2 linked regions of the Nothobranchius furzeri genome follow. The main gene of each other region encodes a partner of the protein of the gene in region 2 in a complex. Links are inferred from orthologs where the notes say so. Each region holds a gene or a part of one and is shown on either strand. Other genes may lie near its edges.

The links.
Region 1: the proteins of nmt1a (region 2) and neuronal calcium sensor 1 are in contact, whole or in part, in a crystal structure (PDB 5O9S), measured with the Homo sapiens proteins. The link is inferred for Nothobranchius furzeri from reciprocal best matches to the Homo sapiens genes NMT1 and NCS1. Residues at the interface, in NP_066565.1 of Homo sapiens: Tyr180, Val181, Glu182, Asp183, Asp184, Asp185, Met187, Phe188, Arg189, Phe190, Tyr192, Asn246, Thr282, Ala283, Gly284, Arg295, Tyr296, His298, Ser300, Lys310, Phe311, Ser312, Tyr401, Leu403, Ser405, Tyr420, Gly468, Ile469, Gly470, Asp471; in NP_055101.2 of Homo sapiens: Gly2, Lys3, Ser4, Asn5, Ser6, Lys7, Leu8, Lys9.

What each region holds. Positions count from the first base shown.
Region 1 is NC_091757.1:35,612,362-35,618,715, forward strand, and holds the start of neuronal calcium sensor 1, read left to right. Parts: upstream 1-2,270; 5' UTR 2,271-2,410; intron 2,411-3,006; 5' UTR 3,007-3,108; intron 3,109-4,005; exon of another isoform or gene 4,006-4,050; 5' UTR 4,051-4,083; coding exon 4,084-4,147; intron 4,148-6,354. UniProt on the Homo sapiens protein: Neuronal calcium sensor, regulator of G protein-coupled receptor phosphorylation in a calcium dependent manner. Directly regulates GRK1 (RHOK), but not GRK2 to GRK5. Can substitute for calmodulin. Stimulates PI4KB kinase activity.
Region 2 is NC_091745.1:11,801,181-11,807,016, reverse strand, and holds part of nmt1a (glycylpeptide N-tetradecanoyltransferase 1), read left to right. Parts: intron 1-4,417; coding exon 4,418-4,509; intron 4,510-4,631; coding exon 4,632-4,748; intron 4,749-5,480; coding exon 5,481-5,651; intron 5,652-5,716; coding exon 5,717-5,825; intron 5,826-5,836.

The DNA of each region.
Region 1 (6,354 bases), on a different chromosome or scaffold from region 2:
TGATGGGGCCCTTTAATATTGTTGCCCAGGGTACAACAAAGCGTTAATCTGGCCCTGGTGTTAATTATAGTTTTTTGGTTGCGCCACTTTGAGAATGGACCGTGCGCTGGACGCAGCTGCCTGGAGCGCTGAACGCCAACGATGATCGCTATATGTGCTCTCTGCTCGAAAGAGTTCATGAATGATGTAATATAGGTAGAAAACGTTTTATCCGGCTCCCCTGGATGTGTAGGATATCCATTTCCCCCATAATTCGATCCCTGCTCCTGGATGAAAAACCCCCGGACGCCCAGACAGAGAGTGAAAAGTGGACATGTCCGGGGAAAAGAGGACGTATGGTCACCCTAGTTTAATATAAAGCGGGAGATTACAGATACAGTATTTTGCTCGTGCCCTTGTTGGCCTGGGCCCTTTGGAGTTCGTGGGCCCCTGGGCAATTGCCCAGTTGCCCATATGGTTAATCCGGCCTTGCAGGCACTTAGCGACAGTGGAGAGGAAAACTCTTTTAACAGGGAGAAACCTCCAGCAGAACCTGGCTCTGAGCTGCTATCTGCCATCTCACGGGGGTTTGAGAAGACACACACACACACACACACACACACACACACACACACACACACACACACACACACACACACACACACACACACACACACACACACACTGATTTCTTAGATATTTCGTAACAGATAAACTTCATTGTCTTTATCTAAGTGAATCTGTAATTAATTTAACAGATGACTTGTACACTCCACCTCCCTCTACTCATCCACTCGTCCAAACCCGGGCCAATATCAGTAAGAATTTAAGCCATTTTCGATGAGATGATGAAGTTTTAAGCAATTGAGAAACTAAGTTTACAAATGAGGCTTGTGGGAAAAGGACTTGTTCTTGCATCATTGTTTTAGGAAAATAAGACACCAGTGCATGTTCAAAACTTCAAAACGATTCTTCCCATCTCTTCTAACAAGTACAGCTGAAATCAGTTTGCATCATTCTTGTTTTGCATTTTGTCCCAGTGGGAGATGCTGCATTACATAGATCAGTAATCTTAATGAAAAAATCTGAGGAACTACATCTGAAAACAGTTTTATGATGATGTTTGTGACTGAAGGGAGATAGCATTTTTGATGGAATTTTTCCAGGAAAATGTCTTCATGATTACAAAAAAAACATTTGGGCTATAGTTCAGTTTGGGAACTTTAGATTTGTACTCAAATCAGCATAAATATGTTGCAGTGAACTGTGATGTTCTCTTTGCGTTTAGTGATTGCAAAGGATAAACGCTGACTGTTGCTGCAAAATAGACTCACTTTTCATTTTATCAATTAGATGAAAATTGGAGTTGATGATCACACTTGCATAAGTGCAAATATATTTTAAACCCAGTAACGGAGACATTGCATGCCCTTGTAGCAAATTAACAAGCCTGTGGCTCAAATGACACCCCCATATATTTTTCTCATCCAATTATTAAGATCCAATTAAAAACTTGAAACAACAAACAAAATTACCAAGCTGAGTTAAGAAACCAAGCTAAAAATGTGTTTTAATTATTCTCACACCTAGGACAAATAAAAGCAAATAGAAATAGAACAATTGATAACTAATGTGACACGGATATTTCTAAGGGCAGGATGAATGGGTGGATAGATGGATGGATGGATGGATGGACAAATAGATGCATAAATGAATTGATACATGAATGGATGGATGCCCTTGCAAACAGCTAACGTCTCATGGACGTGCAAATAAGGTATTGAGTCCGTTGGTCCAGACCAATTCCGAACTATGTATTTGCACATTTGGGCATGGATGAATGAATGACGCATGGATGAACTGATGAATGCGTGGGTGCAGGGCTGGATGATGTATGCATAGGTGCATGGATGATGCACTTGTTAAGTGCAGAAATGGATGGATTTTGGATAAGATAATTACGCTTTAAACTAATTCAGGGGTGCCTGATTTAAATATATGTAAAAAAAAACTTCGGAAAGTTTTCACAAATGGGACCAGACTGGGGCCACTGAAAAAAAAAATCTGGTAACGATAAACTAGCTAAACCACCTTTTTATACTTCGCAGTGAAGACTTGATAGTAAACGTGGTGTGTGTCTGCTCTCCTTTCTCGGTATGGAAAAATGACACGTGTAAAGGCTGTGCAGGCACACAAAGAGTCTGTGTATGACCGTTGCTGGTACCGCGACGTCAGCGACTCTGTCGGGGGCCAGCAGCAGCAGCTACGTCACTCCCTGACGGCGGCACATCAGAGGAGCACTGACGGTCAGCCGGGGCTAGCAGCAGCGAGAGGCGGCGCGCGCTCGGCGGAAGAGGACAGCGGTTCACTGCTTTCTATACGCTCTGTTGTGGGTCAGCCTGGACCAAGTCCTCATACTCCAGTAGCGCAGGTAAATCCTAAAGTATTTCTTCCCGAAAGCTTGAAGCATTTTTATTTTTACGGTCAACTGGCAGCTCTGAACAGCGCGTGGGTACCAAACGTGGCGAGTGGACTAGCGAGCCTCGCATTGTCCCTGTTGTCCTGTAGCCATAAACTGCGTTGCTATGGTGCCGAAAGGCAACATCCCACCTGCTGCTGCCATCACACACACACACACACACACACACACACACACACACACACACACACACACACACACACACACACACACACACACACACACACACACACACACACACACACACACACACACACACACACACACACACACCTGTCAAACGTTTGTAAAGGAGTTTTACTGTTTATGACTTTCGGTTTCTTTAGAACCATTTAATTAACTAATTTAATGGAGTAGCCTACACTGGAAGAGTTTAGCCTCTGCAGCTTCTAGAGGTAAAAAAAAAAAAAAAAAAAAAAAAAAAACAAGTCATCTGCTTCTCAGTGTTTTTCCTTTATTTGAATTCCATTCCATCCCATTCCAATTTCCAGTAAAACCATCACAGGTTGCCAGTTTCATCCTAACTGCTGTTTTGTTTATTTTTACAGCTTCCAGGATCTAAAACGGTTGTGCAAACAAAAGATGGTGATCACCAGCGTGGCATCCCTTAGAAGGACTTTGGACAAAGAGAGCAAATGTTAGCACTGAAGGTGCAGTAGTTTTCTGCGTAGCACGTCTCAGACAGATGCTGTTGTTAGAAATCAGTGCATGCCAATACCAGGCCTGTGACACAAAGAAATTCCATTATCCCTATCTCTCTTGACTGCTGTGACAAGGAGGGAAATCACCAAGCCATTCTGTGGAGAGGCAGGGAGGGAGGGAAAATTATGAGTCAGAATGTAGGAGTAAAAAAACTGTCACTCTTCGATCTGCTTAAACTTTCTAGAGAGTGCACAATGCTTATTTTAAGAGCAGTACCAGATACCTTTTTTACTGTAGAGCAGGTATTCAAAACAGTAGAAACATGTGACACATGCTTGGTATTTATTTAGTTAATAGAATTGATGCTCTTTGAGCAAAACTAAGGCCTATTAATTGCATTTTAGTGTACTCATCTCCTTATCTCAGAATGGGGGGATTCTGTTCTGCTGTAATGTACGCTGAGCAGTAGAGATAGTGGTGGGAAAGGAGGGGTGGGTGGAGTAAAAAGAACAGTGAGCGACTGTGAGGCAGAGTGTGCTTAACCCAGCATTTGAGTGACTCTTGTATCCAAGGACGAAGGTAGCAACGCATCCGAAAGCCACTCCTCGCCCACGGACTGCTGTGAAGAAGTGAGGCGGACGCTCAGACGCTCAGTGGTGCTCAGATAGACTCAACAGCCTCACAAAACCCCTGGGGTTTGATGTCTGATGTGCCAGGGATGATGACAGTGCAGATCATGACCACAGCTAGAGTGAAGGATAGACTCACGTAGCTTGAATGGGAGTTCCCCCCCTTCTTTTTTTTCTCCATCGACACAGACCAAAACAAAATAGTGTTTTGCCTTTTAAGAAAACAGTGTCATTTGTATCCTAAATCAGCCCACGGTTGTTGCATGTTTCTGGCAGAGGAGCACACTGGAGCGAGGTAGTAACAGGTGCCGTGTCCCACAGCGATTCTGGAGGTGTGGATGAGAGCTGAAGATCATGGGAAAATCAAACAGCAAGCTCAAACCGGAGGTGGTGGAGGAGCTGACAAGGAAAACCTACTGTGAGTTTCTGCCTGTCTTTATAAAAATGATAACTTTATTAAACACTTTGTAACTTTGGTTAAATAAAGTTTAATATATGAAAATACATATATTGATGCTGCAAATTCCACCTTCTGTGACCCTCTCTACAGCCTAGAGGGATTCTTCACTCTGGTCATTATTGATAGAACAGAGCTGCAGCTAAATGTCAGGCTTATTTGATTTAAATTTACAGTTCAATGTGTAGCAAACAGATTCGTTAAGGTCAGACAGAAAGTTGGAATCAGCATATTTAAATCATGATGTGGAAACTTAAATATAAGGAATAGGCCTGCACGGAAAACCTGCGGTATTCGATAGCAATGATTAATATTGCAATGACGATATTACTTGCGATAAATAAAAACTTAACTCAAGAACAAAAATAATCAAAAACAAAGAAATAAAAAAAAATCATAAAAATGAGAAAAGCAAAGGATGTGAAGAAAGGTAAAAAGAAAATGAACAAGAAAAGACAATCAGTTGATCCCGGGAAAAGCAGAATCAGCAAAAAGAGCAGAACAAAGCTAACTCAGGTGTTTGCTAACCATCTAAATTAAGTGCTGTCCGCCTCGGGGGCGGGCATCTAACCTATGAGAACCCACCCAATTGGCCAAATGGGTAAAGAGCTCTATTTGATTTGTTAAAAAAAGCATCATGCTTCCGTTTCGTTGACAGAATGCATTATGTTTAGCAAACATTTGTGATATTTACCTGTTCTTTGCGATATGCATATTGTGCATGCTGATATTGCGATAACGATATATTTATGATATATTGTGCAGCCCTAATAAGGAACCTGAGTTTGTGTCAGCTGTCGTGTGGTTTCATGGGTTTTGCTGCAGAACTCTTCTTTGTTGGTAGATTTACTAAGTTAAATCTTTTTTAATGCTTTACTGTAAAATTATCAACATTTCTGCATAGCAGAGCTAGACAAAAACAAACAAATAAATAAATAAGTACTGCTTCTGTAACCTTTCCAACTCGTTGATACATGAAAAAGAAAATTCTCAAGTTTTTTCTATCAAAATTGAGCACATTTCACATTTATGGTTAACACCATCAGTGTCTGCTTTGAAAACTATTTTTAATCGTTTGTGTTATTTCTGGAGTGCAGCGCTGTGATTATTTGAACAGTGCAGGTGTGGGTGGGAGTTGACATCCACTGGCTGCTTAATGACAGTGTTATTTGTGTGGTTGGTCTCCACAGCAGAAGCGAGGAGGGCTGTTGTAGCAGGAAATTGCAGTGGAGGAAGATTAGGCATCATGCTGGGCTGGACCACTTGCTGCTGTCCTGTGCTTGTTGTCTTTCTCTGTTACCCTCTAACCCTGTCTCTTTTGTGTTATTCTCCTAATTGCCCTCTTTGCGTGTGGAAGGGAATAGTACAATTAGGATTTTATCTGGTTAGCTATCGCTGAGAGGGGCACCAAGCCTTTCTCTCCCTGTGCGATTACTCCGAGTCTATCATTTCTGTCGTCTTTCATCTTATTACGTCGTTCTCTTGCCCTCCCACGAGGAGCCTTGTCTGCTGTTTTAGTCAGTGCTTTCCTTTAGTTCTTGACAGATTGAGGACTTATATTTCTCCATGCCTGTATCTCTTTTCGCTTTGGTATTAGAAGAATGAGCACTTATTTATTTTCTCTGGCAAATACCCTACGTGTCAACAGACAAGCAAGAAGACCAGGCCTAAAATAAAACTCTTTATTCCAATAAGATCTTAGAAGGTGAAGTAGCTATTTATTTTTATTTTTTCAGCACCTCTTATCCAAATGTATTAAACCTAGCACTGTGTGGCGAGAAGCCACACTTATTTTAAGATGATAATGAAATACAAAGTCTGGAAAATGTTTTTGATCTAAAAAGAGCTTAGTTTGTCCAGAAGTGATTTTCTGAACGATCGCTCTGGCACTGCACAGAGAGAGCAGCAGTGCTGCTGAAACCTCTGAGGGATGGAGGGCAGATCTAAGTAAACGTGTTAATTTTGCAAGTTGTCAAGAGGCAACGACACTCACAGTGACAGAGTCACGAGCTCAGTGGACCCAGCTGGCCAAGTCCACCTTGCTCTCTCCGGTAACTAGCCAATTAGATTATTTCTATTGCCATTCACTGAGTTATATAAGATATATTTTTTCTAAATTGCAGCCTTGGTAAATTGCCTGAGTTTTATTTTTCTTTTTTGTTCTGTAT
Region 2 (5,836 bases):
TTGAGAGAAATGGTAATATTGTGTATCTGGAATGAATTTTAGATCTTTAAGTCCATCTCATGAAAAATCGGAGCAGAAACAAAGGTGTTGCGTTTATATTTTTGTTGAGTGTAAATAAAATGCTAAAATACATTTTTTTTTTTATCTTCACAAGTCAAAGTTTTCACAAATCATGAACTATGTCTTAAGGACCCCGCCATTAGTGTGAAATTAGCTAGCCCAGGTTGTTGTAGTTTCAGAATAAGAGCAGATTCATTGGTTGGAGTTGCCACTAAAAGTACTAATAATAATAATTTTTGGATTCATTTGCGTGTATTTTTAATACATTTTCCACTAATATCAACCTCCTTTTGGAAAAATACATATCCATTCTCTTTTTGCAATATTTTTTTCTCCTTCACATTACAACCAAATACAAATAAAATGATGTTTTTTCAAAAATGTCAAATCTCATTTAGTAGATATTTAGGGGAGAGGCAAAAAGAGATCACTGACTATTATTTGTGAAAAAGGTCAGATCTAATGTTGGACTCCTGACATTTGTTCTCAGAATTCTAACAAGAATAAACAATCAAGGATTCAATTAAAGTATAACTGTTCTTTAATGTGCTTCATAACGGTTTGATTTGCATGTATCTGAAACAACTCAAACCGTTAAGTAACTACAGCGTATCAGCCACTCGGGAAGGAAGACTCTGGCAAAGGTGAACAAACCGCTTTTGAGGCAGGGGAGATTTGCTGCATTTTTGTTGTTGAAATATAATGTTTCAACCAAGCACTGTATGCTTTTTATATTTTACAAGTGTCTTTAAAAAACATATAGTAAAAAATGTTTCTAATTCTCAAATTTTAGGGGTGCTGGGAGTTGATTTAGCGGTGTTTCAGCATCCCCAAAAATGGGCTAAAAACACCCATGGGTGATTCCTTAAGGGGGCCAATTGTAAGTTTCCGTCCTCTTTGAATATTCTCTAAAGAGTAGCAACATGGGGGCCTCACAACAACTCTCACATGAGCTGAAAACAAAGCCCTTTTTATAAGACACACCATGCTGGCAAATTGGCGTAATATTACCGCAGTGGTATGTGTATAAACGCGCCATGCCGGCATGGCGTTGCGCGAATTTTGCGGCATTCGTTCCGCCTCGCTTGGTAGTAATATTGCGGTAATGGTCTGTCGTATGCGCCCTGGCGCAACAGAGGCAGATGTCATGATGATGTGGGGAGTTATTGCTGAGCTCCGGGTTGGCAAATTTATGGAAAATGAAAGTAAACACAGGCGGTAAGGCTTGCTTTTTGAACAAAATCAGCTGAGATGGCAAACTGGAGCGCCGCAGCGCTGCATGAGCCTCTCTGTTAGAGCTGAAGCTCAAATCACCAGAGACTGCACAGGGACTGATGGGGACAGACACCTTTAGGAGCTGCTTGTTAAAAAAATGTAACGATCATGGCTTCATTCGCAATAAAAAGCAAGTTATGTCCAAGATAAACGGAAGTCTGCGGCAGCGCAGAGACCACCCCTATACCCGCTTTATGCCGCCATCACCTAATCTTTTATAAAATTGCCACGATTGCGCCACATTACTGCCACGGGCTGATCTTATAAATGATCATTATCCTCCCCAGGGAGCCGCGGCAAATCCCGTTTTGCAAACGCTCTGGTCCTGTAAAAACAGCTCATGATTGTTCACCGTCATGGTTTAGGGGAAGGATACAGAAAGCTGTCTCTAGCCCTTTTCAGATTGACATTCTGGAATATGTGTGGACAATTCAGTCTGGTTTTTAACCAGAACTGTGTTTTCAGACACACCACTTTTGTATCTGAACTTGTCCCTTCGGCTGCCTTCACACAGCAGGGAAAAGTTTCAGATGTCAGACCAGATATTGCGTAAACATAGTGCGCCGGGCGTACATGCATCATTTACCCAACCAAAGCTATTTAGTCAAACATGGCCGACGAAGAGATAGAATTCCTCTCACTGATCGGACTTATATTAAGCATAATTATGTGCACACAAAGACGCATAAGAGACCTGGATGATGAAACTCAATGGTTAAAGGAATCACGGAAGCGGTTTGAAGCGCTCCGTCGCGCGTCTAGGAGACTGTACCGTAGGAGCGCATAGGAGGCGAGCTGCCATGGTTCGCCGCATGCTACAGGAGCGAACAATCTAGGTGCGCACAGCGTCCCCCGGTCCCCTCCTCTCCCTCCTCCCTGTCCGGAACTCGACCTCACCAGTCTGAAGCAGCCACCCTGTCCATGGCGAGTCCGGTTCTGTTACTAGGGGCTTCGTCCAGTTTAATCACGGAAAAGGTTATCCGGATGTTTGTATTCAGACACAAAGGTCTTAAGGACAGAGTCCCGAACATTTCCATTTTCCATGGCCTGTCTGAAGGGGGCTTCAGAGATTTCAGCTGTCTGTTTCCACAGTTAGGAACATATTGAGGAAATAGAAGACCACAGGTACAGTTCAAGTTAAGGCTCCAAGTGGCAGAGCAAGAACAATCTCAGATAAACAGAAGTGAAGAATGGTGAGAATAGTCCGAGCCAACCCACAGACCAAAGACATACAACATCATCTTGCTGCGGATGGAGTCGATATGCATCATTCAACTATTCAGTGCACTTTACACAAGGAGATGCTGTATGTGAGAGTGATGCAGAGGAAGCCTTTTCTCTGCCCACAGCACCAACAGAGGTTTGCTAAAGCACATTTGGACAAGCCAGCTTCATTCTGGAATAAGAAAATGGTCCAGAATACCTTCAGCCTCTCTGTCTGTCTGTCTGTCTGTCTGTCTGTCTGTGTGTGTGTGTGTGTGTGTGTGTGTGTGTGTGTGTGTGTGTGTGTGTGTGTGTGTGTGTGTGTGTGTGTGTGTGTGTGTGTGTGTGTGTGTGTGTGTGTGTGTGTGTGTGTGTGTGTGTGTGTGTGTGTGTGTGTGTGTGTGTGTGTGTGTGTGTGTGTGTGTGTGTGTGTGTGTGTGTGTGTGTGTGTGTGTGTGTGTGTGTGTGTGTGTGTGTGTGTGTGTGTGTGTGTGTGTGTGTGTGTGTGTGTGTGTGTGTGTGTCTGCTCTGTCTTCTCGATCCCCAGTGAGTCGTGGTAGATGGCTGCTTATACTGAGCCAGAATTCTCTGGAGGTTTCTTCCTGTTAAAAGGGAGTTTTCCTCTTCACTGTCGCTTTATGCTTGTTTAGTATGAGGATTGCTGTAAAGTCACTGACACTAGTCAGTGACTTGATGCAATTTGCTGGGTTCCTTATATAGGAAACATTATTTCTGATTGGCTTAATGAAATGACCTGAATTTGAATGTTTATCATGTGAAGTGCCTTGAGATGACTCTTGTCGTGATTTGGCGCTATATAAATAAACTTGAATTGAATTGAATTGGAAGCTATAGGAAGTGTGTAGCTTATGCACCTGCCTAATTTTGTTTAAAAGATTATTGCACACTTTCTGTAAATCCTATAAACTTTGTTTCACTTGTCAAACACCACTGTGTGTGTCTCCTATATGACATATTCAACTGAGATTTTTTAAATTGTAATAACCAACAATTAATACAGGAAATCATGAAGATTAACGAGGCTACTGTGTGTGCGTGCGCGTGTGTGTGTGTGCACGCGCGCGAGTGATTGAGAATATATGATTTGGGAGTCTTGTGACTTCACTGACCTATCGGAATCAAGGATTCGACCATAACTGTAGACATGGTAAATGCTTTAGTCAAACCACTTGGAAATTCAAAATAATGTGTAACTCACCATTCAGAGCCTCATATCACTGACAGAATAGAGCCTTCTCCAACAACAATGGTCTTACTTTCACAATCCAACATAATAGATTGCAGAAACCATTAAAAAATTTCCTCAGATGCTCATAATCCCTGTTAGCATCCAATGTTAGCTTCTTCCCGGACCAGCAGGTGTAGGGCTACCCACTCTCTGCTGAGGCAAATTCATCAGCTATTGGCTGATAGGTTAGAAGTACTAACCCTCTGGTCTGGTGTGTAGCGTCAACGAACTATGGCTCAGTTTATGATTTATTGAAGCATCAACTAGCCAGTGAAATTTAGATAGAAGCAACGTCTCATTTGAAGACCTTGCAGCTTGCTTCTGCAAAGGGAGTAAAAACATTAGTGAATGGTGGAGCGCTCTATGCAGTGTGCCGGCCCACAGAACCTCTTAACATCTCCTGTGCCAAAATCACACGTCATCATTTATTTGGGACTGTCGAATATCGCTTGAAAATGACCCAACCTTAGTGTGTATCGGTGCATGTTTTGTTTTTAATTCATGAATGAAAAATGTATAACTACTAATGACAGATGTTGGAAAGATGAATTATTTTTGTGTAATTGTTTATTTTCATAACATTTAAAACTTACTGGTGCTTTATTTCTGCTTTTATCGGTTTAAAACCAGCTCAAGGAGCTTTACACTCTTCTCAATGAAAACTATGTGGAAGATGACGACAACATGTTCAGATTTGACTACTCTCCTGACTTCTTGCTCTGGTACAAATGAAACACTTTCAGCTTTACACTTGCAGCAAATGTTAAAGTAACTGAATATTTTTAAATGTATGTAGTTACTCATTACACTGCTTAACTGGTCTTCAAATCCGTTTCCTGCTCAGGGCCCTGCGGCCTCCAGGCTGGTTGCCTCAGTGGCATTGTGGAGTAAGAGTGAACTCCAACCAGAAGCTGGTCGGGTTTATCAGCGCTATTCCAGCCAACATCCACATCTACGACATGTAAGGAAACTCTGTAGCGTTGAGTAGACCGTTCAGGTTGTGTCTCAGTTACCTGAAAAGTGTGGAACGCTGAAAACTCATTTTTAAATCTTATTTCTGATAATAGGTCACAGTTTTTTATGCAGGCTGAACATGAAAATAATCTCCTACACCTATCTCCTGCATTAGCTTCTGATAGAAAATTGATGATGAAACTCTAGGATTTGGAAAATCCTGACAGATCTACGTCACACTGTCACTGAACATTCATGGACTCACCCATCTTGACTCACAACGAGGAAGGCTGTTGTTGGTTTAGCGTCCAGGAAACGGCAGAGAAGATCTCAGCTAGTAGAAGCTAACCGTTAGTTTTAGCATCTCCGCCACACAGCAGAACTTTGTCAGGCTTGAGTTGTTTGTGGAGATTAAACCTCAACGTTGCAGAGCAGAGTCAGTGGTAGTCACATTGCTGTTATCCAATCAGAGGTGAGATGTCCAGAAAAAAATCCTAAACCTGCCGTCTGACGCTCAGCTCTGATGCGGCTCACTTCTAGTTCCTGAATATGGTGCGCCAGAGCTCCCCCACCACCTTCCAAGTCATTCATTCCTACTCGAGACCTCTGCAAACGTATTTGTTTAATGAGTGATCCACACCTTGAAGTAGTCATGGAAGTTCTTCATAAATGTCAGTGAATATTTCACAGCATACAAGTCTGACGTAACCGTTTTCTTTTTAATGTTTGTTTTTCTTAGAGAAAAGAAAATGGTTGAGATCAACTTCCTCTGTGTCCACAAGAAGCTTCGCGCCAAGCGAGTGGCTCCAGTTCTGATCAGAGAGATCACTAGAAGGGTCAACCTGCAGGGTATCTTCCAGGCGGTGTACACTGCAGGAGTGGTGCTGCCCAAACCGGTGGGCACGTGCAGGTTTGTCTGGCAAATAAACCTTAGTTTTCATCTTTTACAGCTTTAATGATCATTAACTTCCACAGGTACTGGCATCGCTCTTTGAACCCAAGAAAACTAATTGAAGTGAAATTCTCCCACCTGAGCAGAAACATGACTATGCAGCGCACCATGAAGTTGTACCGCTTGCCAGAGGTGTGTGCAGA